Linked DNA regions of Neodiprion lecontei. The protein of the gene in region 1 purifies or fractionates together with the protein of each later gene. This does not show direct contact. Links are inferred from orthologs where the notes say so. Each region holds a gene or a part of one and is shown in the gene's direction. Other genes may lie near its edges. The genes, in order: enhancer of mRNA-decapping protein 4 and mRNA-decapping enzyme 1A.

Region 1 (7,755 bases):
TGTGCGACATGATGTTTATGTATTTCATAAACGCTTCCCCATGAAGTGATACCGTATTGTATTATGGAATACACAAGTTCATGGTAGATTTCTTTCTTCGTGTTCTAGTTCAGTATTTGAGTCATGTTTATCAGTGGGTGGAATAGTTCTCTAAGTTTTTTTACGGTCTGTGATGTGTGTGCATTCCATTTCACCTTGTCGTCCATGAGTACTCCCAGATATTTTTGTTCTTTGACTATGATTATTGAGTCACATTGACAGTTGGAGTTCGCTCGTGCGCATTTGTGTAGCTGAATCTTTTTGTACTTTAAATCTTGTTTTTCCGATTTCTTGGATCTATATGCCATGTAGGTTGTCTTCTCTGTATTGAGAGATAGAAGTCGTTCATTGAGGTGTTTGTGGATCTTGTTGATATCTTGCGTTGCCATTAAATATACTTCCTCCCATGTTTTTGCTCTTGATATCAGTGCTGTGTCGTCTGCGTATGATATTATTTTGGATTGTGTATGTAGCCTTAGTTTATCGTCGTAGTAAAGTGTAAACAGCAGCGATGATAGGATGGTTCCTTGGGGAATGCCGCACGTTACTTGGAGTTGTTCGCTGTAGGTTTTACGTATTGTCACTTTTATTTTCTACCTCGAAGATATGAGTTAAACCAGCTTTGTGCTTTACCTCGGATACCTCTTCTCTCTAGTGTATTTAGCAGGCTGTGCGGGATCGTGTCAAACGCCTTAGAAAGATCTAGGAATATTGCTATACATTTTTCTCCGTTGTCTGTTGCTTCGTGAATTTCTTTGTTTAGTTCGTGAATTGCGTCTTGTGTACTTTTCCCCAATTGAAAACCGTATTGAGCAGGAGGACGGGGAGAGCGAAGGTGGTCGGAGGTGGTTACAGGTGTTCGGAAATGGTAGGTGGTAGGAGCTGGTAGAAGGTGGTTGGAGGTAGTAGAGGGTCGTAGGAAGTCGTAGAAGGTGGACGGAGATGGTAGGAGGTGTTTGGAGGTAATTGGAGGAGGTAGGAAGTATTTGGTGGTGGTTTGAAGTGATCGACGGTGGTCGAGGAGAATAACCAAGCGGTCGAGGAGGAGCAGGACGGCGACGAGGTGGAGGAGGACGAAGGTGGTCGGAGGTGAGAGGAGGTTGTTGCGGTGGTTGGCGGTGGACGCGGTTACGCGTCTTCTCACGGGGATGATCGAACTCATCGACATTTCTAAGGCGCAGTCAAGTAGTCGTAGGTACTCACTTTGTAGCAACTCAATCTGAAGCTTTCATACCGACACTACTTTGGTTGCTACGAATGTCGGTGCGAGCCCGTTAGGTAGAGGCGATAGAGTAGAAGCCTCCTATGCTAGTATACTTGCACTGTTCCATTTTTTTCCATTTATGATTAATCGGAGAAAAGTTTTTTCGTACAACGCGAGGAAAGATCACGGCAAAGATACAGAACAATAGACGATTTTGTTTGCGTTCACAAATAATCTATCCGAAGTTACCAGATTTTTAGTGATAATATCTGCAACGTTGTCAAATTTGCCGAAAATCTATCGACATTTATCGATGCCTCTGTGACTAGTTTTGCATCGATGAATATCGTTACGCCTAAGTTATAGAATCACCCTATGGCTGTGTTCGGAAATTGACTGAAAGTACTGTCAGTACTGAAAATCTACAGTATACGTCACTTGGACTATACCATTTTCAGCACTGACAGTACTTTCAGTCAATTTCCGAACACGCCCTACGTCGTTTGGCTATCATTGTCGATGCAAGCGACAACTGTCGCTAGCTAGCGATAGCGATAATTGTCGGTAGAGAGTTACAGAATCCCGCTACAGGCCCACGTGGGCCCACTTACCCGCCGAAACGTGGTCACAAAAATGTACCCAGGGGTATCCGTCTTTATAGTCTTCGGTCAACGAGTGGAGACTCGGACGTTATATTTGCATTTCGCGAATGAAGGAGAGCGAAAACTAGTGAACGGCGTTTTAAAGTTCGTAATATAACCGGGAGATGGCATTAAAATCGGTAATCTATATGACAAGTATGGAATCCCTGACGTTTCTGATCCATTTACCCGGTTTACCAAAATCTTGAGTTTTTTAGTAAGATTGGTAAAGCGTTACGCGGAATGTTAACTTGATTAATACTGAGTCGTGAACATACGTAAATATACATATATAGCATAAATAAGTATCATCTTACCTTCATATATGCATATGTGCAACGGGTGAGTACACTTATCAAGCAACACGACACTCGGCATTCATATTCGTAGCGTGTCACCGGTTGGGGTTAGAATCCCGTAATATCGGTGGTCATAAAATGGAAGTATAAAATTGCAAAATATTTGTATCATTAACGATACTTTACGGTATTTTCAGTGATTCATCGATGACAGGGAAAATGATTAAGCCGACTGATGAAAGTGTCAGGCCGTATCAATATCCGCAAACTGTGTAAGTAGCTCTTTTTTTTCTCACCTCTCTCTTCCCATCTCTAAACTTTCGCTCGACTCTTACTTATCCTAATTTAAACTCCTTCTACACGTGAAAAATAGTTCAAGCTCTTCAAAAACCTTAATCGCTATCAACTACAATCTACATTGCAATTCTTCAGGGAATTCAATGGGCAGGAAGACCAGCACTCTGTAGAACTATTCAGTACTGATGTGACGATTGTCCCATCGCCCGGAGGGCATGATCACGGAAGTTCCAAAGTGAAGCTAAAAAACATTGTCGATTTTACATGGGAACTACGATTTTATACGGGACAATTACTTGCAGTTCATATGTCAGGCAAATATCTTGCATATGGAATCAAGGGTAGGTACTTACTGTTTAATTTGCTGAATTGAGCGCAATTGCACTATACACTGCAAATTTTCAGCTGGAACAGGCGGAGGAGTTGTTCGTGTCGTTTACAAGGAGAGGGAGCAGCGAGCGTTGTTGAGAGGAATGCGTGGTGCTATTCAAGATCTTGCTTTTGCTCATATCAGTAACGCGATATTGGCGTGTGTTGATCACTCTGGTAGCTTGTTCGTATATTCCATAGAATCTACACATCTAAAACTCGTTTGCAACCTCGTTCTACAAGTTGATGCAGATGATGCTTCACCAACTAGTCACCGTGTCATATGGTGCCCTTATATCCCTGAAGACGAACCGGCTGAGGGCGACGAGGTATCCAAGCTCTTAGTCTTAACACGTGGATCTAAAGCTGAACTTTGGTCTGTTGCTGCAGTTGCAGCCAGGCTTGGATCTGGCCCAATAAAGGTAATGGAATAATTTTTTTTCAAGTTATTTCTCTTCTTAATTTAGCGCTATGTATTGATTACAAATACGCTATATTCATTCCTTACATATGTGAGCAGATCTCTGACGTGGCACAGAATGATGGATGGGGCGGTATGATGGAGATCAATCAACACTCTGGCACAATAGTTGAGGCCACATTTAGTCCCGATGGTACTGCTCTTGCTACAGCCAGTCTGGATGGAGAAGTCAAGTTTTTTCAAGTATATATGCATAATAGCAGTACTCATCAAGGTGCACAGCAACAACCACGATGTCTGCATCAGTGGAAACCCCATGGCGGTCGACCAATTTCATCACTATTTTTTCTAGACGACCACAAAAGCTATCAGCCAGAGTAAGCAATTATTTTTCATTGCTTCTTGATTTCATGGTTTTCATTTGCTAATTCTTCCTCCTTATAGAGCGCAATTCTGGAGGTTTGCTGTAACTGGCTGCGATAATAATTCAGAGTTAAAAGTCTGGTCCTGTGAGTCTTGGACATGTTTGCAAACTATAAAGTTTGCACCATTAAATGGAAAAACACCCGTCTTGAAAGCAGGTTTGGATTTAAGTGCAGGCTATCTTCTTCTTTCTGACATATACAACAAAGTTCTGTATGTGTTGAGCCTGGCTAAAGATAGTTCGGATGCCTTAGCCTGTGTGAATACAATTTCCGAATTCTTATTGCCATATCCAATCCTAAGTTTTGGAATCGTTGACGCTGGACAGCGCAGAGTTCGACCTACTGGGGAATCCCTTGAGGATTTATGCCCTCTCGAAGACGAAACGGAGGATCAGCTCGTAGTTAGGATGTATCTCGTACAACCAAAGTCTTTGCAGGAATGCCACATTGCCTTTAGACCTGTAACTCAGTCCGACGGTCACTGTCTTATGGACACTTTGAGTCACGATTCGTTACACTACATGGAAGATATTCCCGGTATTGCGGCTATGAACCAAAACGGAAACATTGAGGAAAATGGGGACGAAGAGCTAACGGTTGGTGCGGCAATCGAGGCAGCATCCAATCATAGTACAGGTCTGAATTTGATGACGCCTGATGCTTTCAGCTCCCCAGCAAAAAAAGAGGGAAATAATATTGATTCAAATTCTGCAAGCCCTGATCTGGGGGCTGTCTTGTCAGCTAGTCCCTCACTAGCTCAAGCTGTGCAAGCATTAAATTCAACCGAGCCACCATTAGCGACAAGTGAACTTGGAGAGCAAGCGCAGGCGAGTGGAGGAAGCAGCCCTTCAAGGGAAGTAAGGGAAATATTCTCACTGGGAGCACCAGAAACCGAGCCTGAAGCCAAACCAGATTCTGAAACTGCTGTGGCAGAGATTTGGCCTGGTATTCCGATTGGCCTACTAAAAGATGTTCGAGCCATAGAAGAACCTGAAGAATTTGTGGAGGACGAGGATGCAGAACTGCCAACAAAATTAACAAAGAATGATCTTCCCGAAGCTAGTGTTGAATCTGACCAGCCTGAAGAAACTAACTGGTGTATACCTGATACTGGAAGTATAATTGCTCTAACAACCAAACTTGATTCTATTCTGAAAACAGTCGAAGACCAGCGCCAGGAGCTGAGAGAGTTGAGATCTGAAGTAACCAGGTTGCAACAAGATACACCGGTAACTGCTCGTGTTGAATCTGTGATGGCCAGAGCGACTCAGCAGCAAAATACATCCTTGGAACAAACACTGCTTGTTCAGCTATCACGCCAGCAGGAGATACTTTGTTCTTTGGAAAGTGCAGTGACGGATAAGATAGAGAAAAATTTACCAAAAATAGTCGACGGTGCACTTGATCCCTTGAGGCATCAGCTGCGCTTAGATATATCACGAATGGATGACCTTATGAAAGAAAATCTCACGCAGCTAGTAAGTGGTGCTCATATACGTGACACTCTCGCCCTTACTGCAGCAAGTGCAGCGAAACCTGTACTTGAGGCCGTTTTTAAGGAAGCTTTCACAACGGTATTGTTACCAGGAATGGAAAGAGCGTGCCAGACTATGTTCAAACAAGTTCAAGACGCGTTTTCTCGGGGGACCCGTGAATGTAAGTAGAAAATCCTTCAATTTATATATATTACGATTGCTGTTGCAATCAAAATTACTGTCCTGGAAAGTTGTTCATTAATGTGTGAATTCTTGATGTATTATATTCTCTTTTGTTAAAGACATTCAAAACATAGATTCGATGGCAGATAAACAACGGCAACGGAGAAACGAACAGCAGAGTGAAGCCCTGGCGGCAACCGTTCGTCAGGAGTTACAAAACGAACTTTCTAAGGGACTCAGGGTTATGCAGGAAGGAACGACAAGGGTAGTTCGCGACACAATCAGGGAGAATTTGAGTCAACATCTAACAGAAATATCTGGAGCAAGGTAGACTCTAGTATTTTCTTGAGAATCTTAATGATTTAATTGTATACCATATAATCTTGACAAACTGAAATTATTTTCAGATCTCGCGCAACAACTCCGGGTCTTCAAGCTAGCCCAATTGGTGCTGATGCTCAAGCAAGAGTTCTGAATCTTCTACAAAGAGGCCAGCTGAATGCTGCTTTTCAGCAGGCATTGAGTGCTAGTGACTTGAATCTCGTTGTTCTCGTCTGTCAACGTACCGAACCAAGCCGTGTCTTTTCTCCCCCTCCAGGCCTGGGGTCAGGTGGCCCACGCTGTCTACTTCAGCAGCCCGTTCTGCTGTCTTTAATACAACAACTTTCAGCTGATCTAGGACAACAAACTGAATTAAAATATAGGTGGGCACTCTCGTCTTTATCTCTATGCATATTGTTTTGCGATATCTGGTGTTTGGATCACAGTACCTATATATTCTGTTATGCGTAAAAGATCAAACCATAAATTTTTCTACCTCAATTTCAGGTGGTTAGAAGAAGCTGTTATGAACCTAAATCCAGATGACCCAGTAACTCACGAGCACATGGGAACCGTCCTTATGGCTCTACAAAGTCAATTGACAGCCTTCATCACAGCTAATCCAATCCACAGATCTGCTAAGCAGATGAAAATGCTTGCTATGGCCGCTAAGGCCATAAGAGGTCAAAGCCTATGATATGATTTGGAACAACAAAAGTTAGTTTAGGTTTGTAACTTAAGATACAAGACCGAGGTGACCTTGTGCGTGTTTGAAAGTAACGAATCTAGTTGGAGCAAACAGCACATCAAAGACTGCAAACATGGCGGATTTGATCTACTGCTTTCAGTGCGTACTAAGGGTAGTTCCACTAGTTTTTACTCGTAAAAAATTACAATCAACTCTGGAAACTGCAGTTAGTGCACACTGGTATGGTTCGTCAAATTCCGCAGTAGTTAACTTTTAAACAGTATTCATACTGGGATGTCATGAGTAGAAGAAAAAAAATATTATATTGTGGACGCCAATGAAAAGCTCACAGCGTTCTTTTTTTCTTTTTTGTCATTTTTTGTTAAAATTCCTATAAATTTATTCACTATTTAATAAAAGCAATACCTGCTCTATTACATTCTGATTGTCTCGAATAAATTTTATCGATGGAAGACTCACGTAACAGTGTATTCGTTAAATATTTACTTGGAATACTTGTTCCAATTTTGATGATTGCAGATCTTTGAACATCATCTAAGTAACACATTAGTTACTCTCAAAAAAGGCCAGTAAAGAATTGGTATTACTAATATTCAGTTCATATGTCCGACACAATAAATCTAAATAGTTTTACGCAATCTGCAACTTGGTTTTACAATTATCTCAAAATTCAATTGAATTAAAATATGTTGTCTGAACTGTGCAATTTTTGACTTTATCGTTAAAATTATAAATTCATTTTTTAACACAGCGACCACAAACCCGAATCTTTTTCCACCACTTTCAATTATTTCATTCTTATTTGTTTCCAAAAAATATGAATGAATAGTACACTACACATCAGTTATTCACACTGTCTTTAGCAATAAAAATCGCTCATCTTATGTTTACGTGAAAGCGAAATATTATTTTGTTCGAACTAATTTTTCTTTTCTTTATCATCCAGATATCGCTATTGTTCTACTGCTTATTTAATTTGATTTGCGTTTCTGTAGAATATTTCTCATTCTAGGTAGATTTAAGCATCAAAATACGAATCTTTCACACTATTCAATACTATGATTAAATCACTATATATGGTGCAGATATTCCAGTGCAATAATGTTAATTGAATAATAATATTACCTGGAACGTTAACTGCAATGCGTTGTAGTCGATGGTAGAATTTAAGAAAAGGATGAATCCAATACCTTCCAAACGCGTTATTGTCATTTAATATCATATAATTTACTTACATAAAATTAATCTCTAATTCCTAACTATTAACGAGATAACTGCCCAAAAAACTATTACTTGTATAAGGTCAGAAAAAAAATTATGACAGTTTAGTCAGAGCTAAATACTTTATTCTTATTAAATGTAAATCTATTAT
Region 2 (5,210 bases), about 24 Mb from region 1:
AGGAGTGGGAATAAATGAGAAAAAAAAAGAAGAAAACAGGGGAAGGAACTTGAAATTAACAGTCTGACAAGGTTGCAATAATGCAAGGAACGTTACATCGTTATGTGATGACATGAGGCTTGTTGAGAAATATATGATTTCAGTCACATTTTTCATCGAAATAAGAGTGCATATGTCGAGAATTGTAGATCGTCGATCGGTTTCGGGAGAATAAGGTTGTATGGGCCGCGCTCGCGCACGATTCGCCTTAGCTTAGGTGCGCTACACCTACTTACGGCTCTAACCTGCTTCTTTAGGAGAAAGCAGACGCAGGTCCATACCCGGGAGGCCATCAGGAGGAACGCTCTCATCCCCATTTGCAATTGCTTCAGCATGTCTTTAGTATGAACAACCTAAACTCAAAATTATACACTCGATACCTAGAAGTCTGTTTCTTTACCCCTTCACACGGTTTCAATCGCGGTGTTACACAAGCCCTCTCGTAAACAAACGATGATATCTTTGTTACGATACATATATGCAATATTTACACACGATCGTACGATACACAATTTTATTAATCACATTTTCGCATCCTTGATTATGTTACTACTAACTATTCGACACTGTTTCAAGATTATTAACTGCTATAATCTTATCACACACACCATGCAGTGGCCGCCATCTTTCGCACATCGACCCAATTTAATCGTGCGCACGAACTATGCGCGTTTTCTGTCAAAACGAATATCACACTTTTCAGTTTACGAATTCGGCACGCTATGCACTTATTTTTTATTGCATGTTCTTCCCTTTCGGATAGATCGTAAAATTATTAGTCATTTAGTTATACATGTTAGGTTTTATGAACGCAGGCATTTTTCTATGAACATGTGATATGTTTGGTATACCCCGCGGGCACTGTCGGGCACAGCGGGCAACAGCCGCCGGATTGTCACAATTTCTGTTTCCACGTTTTCTCGTTCGTGAAATTATACAAGCTAGTGATTCTAGGGTGATTCCGAATCTCGAAGTATCGAGGCGCCCACTCTCGTGGATTTCTGTAGAAGTAGTTTAGACATGCAGCGTATGTAACTACTAACAGTCGAGTTCTGTAGTGCCCAGTGGTAGTGCCGGCAAAAAATGCACACGCTCGCGTTTTTCATGTCCGAGGTCTCCCATTTCGTAGCGCCCTCTGAAACGAAATAAGTTTTAGAATTAAGTGTCGTGGTTGCCGGATAGTAATTGCATATCGTTAAGCGAACAATACTTTGTTGTATTTAGGCATTTAGTAACACCAAATCTGTCGATAATGCAAAGCATATTTATCATAGCGAAGTGTCACTCGACGGTTCGAAACTGAACAAATCACAGACATTAACAAATGATATTATTGCAGTGTGAACAAACAATTGACCAGATTAGTAAGTTCAAAATTAACTGCAAAAGATTATCTACATTCTACTGCTTAATCTCCATCGAATTGCTGAATCTGGGTATCCGCACTGGATCGAAAATTTCCAACCAATCACGTCAACGGCTAATATTTTAATAAAAAACAAGGTTTGTAATTCTAATCTTATTTTTAATTATTTTTCGTATATATTTGCGAACCAATCCGGTACCGCCAATGCCATTGCGTGTTCTTGAAACAACACGCGGCAGTTGCTTAGAGATCGGTGCGATGTTTTACGAACGCCGTACTAAAATTCAGTATGGCATCCAACCGAGAAGCAGCTGCTTGCGTTGTTTCAAAATATTGCGAGATTGCGGGAACGCTGTAGTTCGTGCTTCGTATCTTTGTGCTTTTAAGTACGTCGTTGTGTCTTTTATTGGAGCTTATTAGCCGGTCGATTAGCCGGTCTTTGAGCACGATGGCCGATTTGACAGAGTTGAAAATGAATGTTGCTGCATTGAAACGCGTCGACCCGTACGTTAAGGATATTCTCGAGACTGCGACCCATGTAGCCCTGTACACATTCAATGCCGAGAACAACGAGTGGGAAAAAACCGACGTCGAGGGTGCCTTGTTCGTATATTCACGAAACGGGGAACCCTACAACAGTGTGTTGATCATGAATCGGTAAAAACGCTAACATTAAGCATCGCAATCATTCAGAAATCGTTTCTGACTGACAAAAAAAAATTAGCGGCAAAATATTGAGACCTAAATTTTCTCCTTCGTATTACGAGGACGTGTTTTTTGAACATGTCCCACACATTGTCCCAAAACGCTTCTACTTTTAACGAAAGACATTTGTTTTTTTTCTTCAATTTTCAAAACTTACCACCGTACTATAAAATTTTTCTTTCTTGCAGGCTGAATACCAATAATTTGATGGAACCTGTAACGCAAGGGCTCGACTTACAGCTGCAGGAGCCTTTTCTTTTATACAGAAATTCAAGCTGCAATATATTTGGAATCTGGTTTTACGAAAAGGAAGAATGCGTTCGCATTGCGGCTATGCTTAACAAACTTGTTAAGGATTCTGAGCAGATGCGAAAATCTACTAATAAGGTTAAGACTAAGAAAAATTCAGGGCCAAGTGTGAACAGTGTCGATATATTCAGCATGCTGAGTAAGGCCCAAGAAGACTTCAACACTAACAGGGGAGGGCCAAAATCTCCAGGGAATAACTTATTGTTGGAAAACATGACAGGTCCTTTATCAGCACCTCTCGGACCTGATGTTCCTTCGCAAAGCGTTATGGACTTCTTTGCCAAGGCTAAGGTAAACCTTAGGGCTGTGCGGGTATCATAATTCTTCGGATCAGGTCGGAAAAAAACTATTAGTATTGGGTTGGGTGCCCGAAATTTTCAGCATTCCCAGAAATCTGTAAATTCTCAAAAACTTTAGAATTACCGCTAATCCGGGAATTCCCAAAAACTCTGGGATTCACGAAAATATCAGTTTAGTCAAAATTTTTGGGATTCCCGGATCTCCCGATGAATGTTGAGACACTTTTTACTGAAAATATTGATTTCATATAATTATAATATTTACTATTAGTATTTATTTAATATTTAATCGATACTGTGAGTTTTAAGTAAGTTAGGTTACCCGCGTCTCGGGCTTCTCAAATATTTCTGGCTTTACAAAGATTACGGGTTTCCCAAAAATTTTAGATTTCCCGACACTTCCGGAATCTCTAAAAAACATGACCTGATACAAACCCATCCCGAACCTGAACTTTTTTCCTGAGATTTTGGGAAAATGCACAGCCCTAGTAAACACATTACAATATTGGGGACTAACAACGATTTTAATACTTAGATCAAGTTTACACTGGTGGACAGAAAGTGGGAAATATCACATCATCACGCCTTTTTCTCAACAATTAGGTAAACCCCGGCCAATTCAAGGCGGGTGATCAACCTCCAACAGGCAACCCTGGTCCTACAGGACCTGTAACACCAGAGACTAAGCCATTGTTGGCGCGTCTGATGTCAAATCCAGCCGCACATACTCTTGAACATATTGAAAAACAACAACGATCTACAACGCCCCAGCCAGGACCTCCATCTCATTCTCAATCTCAGTCAGCGTCAACTATTCAGCCAAACAACGTATCAGGAAATATAGTGAACAGATCTAAAAGGCGAAATCGCATAACTACGACCAATCTCGAATCTGGGGGTACAACTGTATCAACAGCTGTACCACGAGAACAGCCACCATTGACAAATGCCAATTCAACTGATACAAATAGTACTTCAGGGTTTCTCAGGATACAGTCTCCGACTAACACCACGTTAAATAATCATCAACAATCATCCATTCCTAATGCAAATTCACTTGCATCCTTATTTGCCCATGCTACTGGACCTACGGTTAGTAAATAGAGCTTCTCAGCCAATTCGAAACATAACACGAAAATTGTGGGATTCTTAAAATCTGAAAAGTTATATATATCCAATTACGTAAAACTTTGTAATTCTATGTCATCGGATATTACTGGCAAAACTTGAATAATATAAAATTCCAAAATTTGTCTACAAACCATATACTTAGCAGTGCTTTGCGTAACAGGAGACGATATTTGTGTGCTGAATTTTGTTGATGCAGAGGTATCAAATGATTACATTGCATGATATTTCTTGCAGGCATCTGTAGAATCGTCGAGCTGTTCAGCAGTCGGTTCTGGCCCAGCATTGATGCCACCTGTTATGTTTGCTGCCCCTAGTCCCCCAGATCCATTGACAAGACCGGTTGAGCCGCTGACAAGGAATCAGTTATTGCAGGCTTTTAATTACCTTCTGAGGAGCGATCCAGACTTTGTCAACAAACTTCATGAGGCTTACGTGAAATCTTTTGGTGAGATACTATCTTAGGTTCATTATTCGGACCACATTTAACCAGAATCGTCATGCAGGATGTGATGGACGGTTATATTATACACCGACTGATCGATAGAACTAAACTAAAACTATTCCTACAACACACATGTGTGTAATAATTGATGGGAATTGGTATGTAATGTTCGAAATTCGTGATTTTGACAAAACTCTCGAGTGAGTTTTAGGTTGAGAGTGAAAAGGTAATGATTAAAAAAAAAAAAAATAAGAAAAAAGTTAAATATGAAGTAAATAATTGCAAGAAAAAACCCTGGACAGTATTTTTGTAAGACAAAATATTTTCTTTGAGATGTTGCACCATGCAAGAAAGTTTTCTTGTCAAGTATTGCAGTTTTGTCTGTGTTTTTGCGTATCTCGCTGCGCAGTATAAAACTACTACAAGGTTGTTGTGACAATTTATGAAAGCCTTGTAAAGCTATATAATGCACGTCCCGCCAAAAGATTTTTATCTGTGATGGCAATTTGATCATATTAAAACTACATAGTGTCTACTATGGTTATACATTAAAAATGCAAAATAAATGAAACAATGTTCAAACAAGATGAATGGGATTCCTATTTTATCGAGTAATGACTCACCCTTTCTGTAATACGAGTGGCAAAAAAGGTGTATGTAACAGGCATTGAAGGAAGAAATGAATAAAATGAAATGAGCAAAAAATGTTCAGTTATTTTATTTGTATTATTTTTTTATACTCTGTATAATCGCCCTGCGCAAGGCGATACATCTCATTATATGTGTATAAAATCGCGTATCATTTGAATTAATATTCGTATTATCATTATCATTATTATTATTTATTATCAAGTTAAAATAATTATACAATATTATCACAATATAATATTTATTCGGAATATAAATAGAGCTATGGAAA

The links.
Region 2: the proteins of enhancer of mRNA-decapping protein 4 (region 1) and mRNA-decapping enzyme 1A purify together in Drosophila melanogaster (affinity purification with western blotting; 4 studies listed by BioGRID). This does not show direct contact. The link is inferred for Neodiprion lecontei from reciprocal best matches to the Drosophila melanogaster genes Ge-1 and DCP1.

The regions. Positions count from the first base shown.
Region 1 is NC_060261.1:32,387,156-32,394,910, reverse strand, and holds enhancer of mRNA-decapping protein 4, read left to right. Parts: upstream 1-2,026; 5' UTR 2,027-2,209; coding exon 2,210-2,226; intron 2,227-2,380; coding exon 2,381-2,455; intron 2,456-2,615; coding exon 2,616-2,821; intron 2,822-2,885; coding exon 2,886-3,271; intron 3,272-3,369; coding exon 3,370-3,647; intron 3,648-3,714; coding exon 3,715-5,351; intron 5,352-5,472; coding exon 5,473-5,680; intron 5,681-5,760; coding exon 5,761-6,057; intron 6,058-6,181; coding exon 6,182-6,371; 3' UTR 6,372-7,184; downstream 7,185-7,755. UniProt on the Drosophila melanogaster protein: In the process of mRNA degradation, seems to play a role in mRNA decapping. Required for silencing a subset of endogenous miRNA targets.
Region 2 is NC_060261.1:8,405,939-8,411,148, reverse strand, and holds mRNA-decapping enzyme 1A, read left to right. Parts: upstream 1-1,678; 5' UTR 1,679-1,853; coding exon 1,854-2,062; intron 2,063-2,298; coding exon 2,299-2,710; intron 2,711-3,321; coding exon 3,322-3,810; intron 3,811-4,083; coding exon 4,084-4,311; 3' UTR 4,312-4,625; downstream 4,626-5,210. Other genes in the region: CTD nuclear envelope phosphatase 1 homolog, read right to left, coding at 276-374.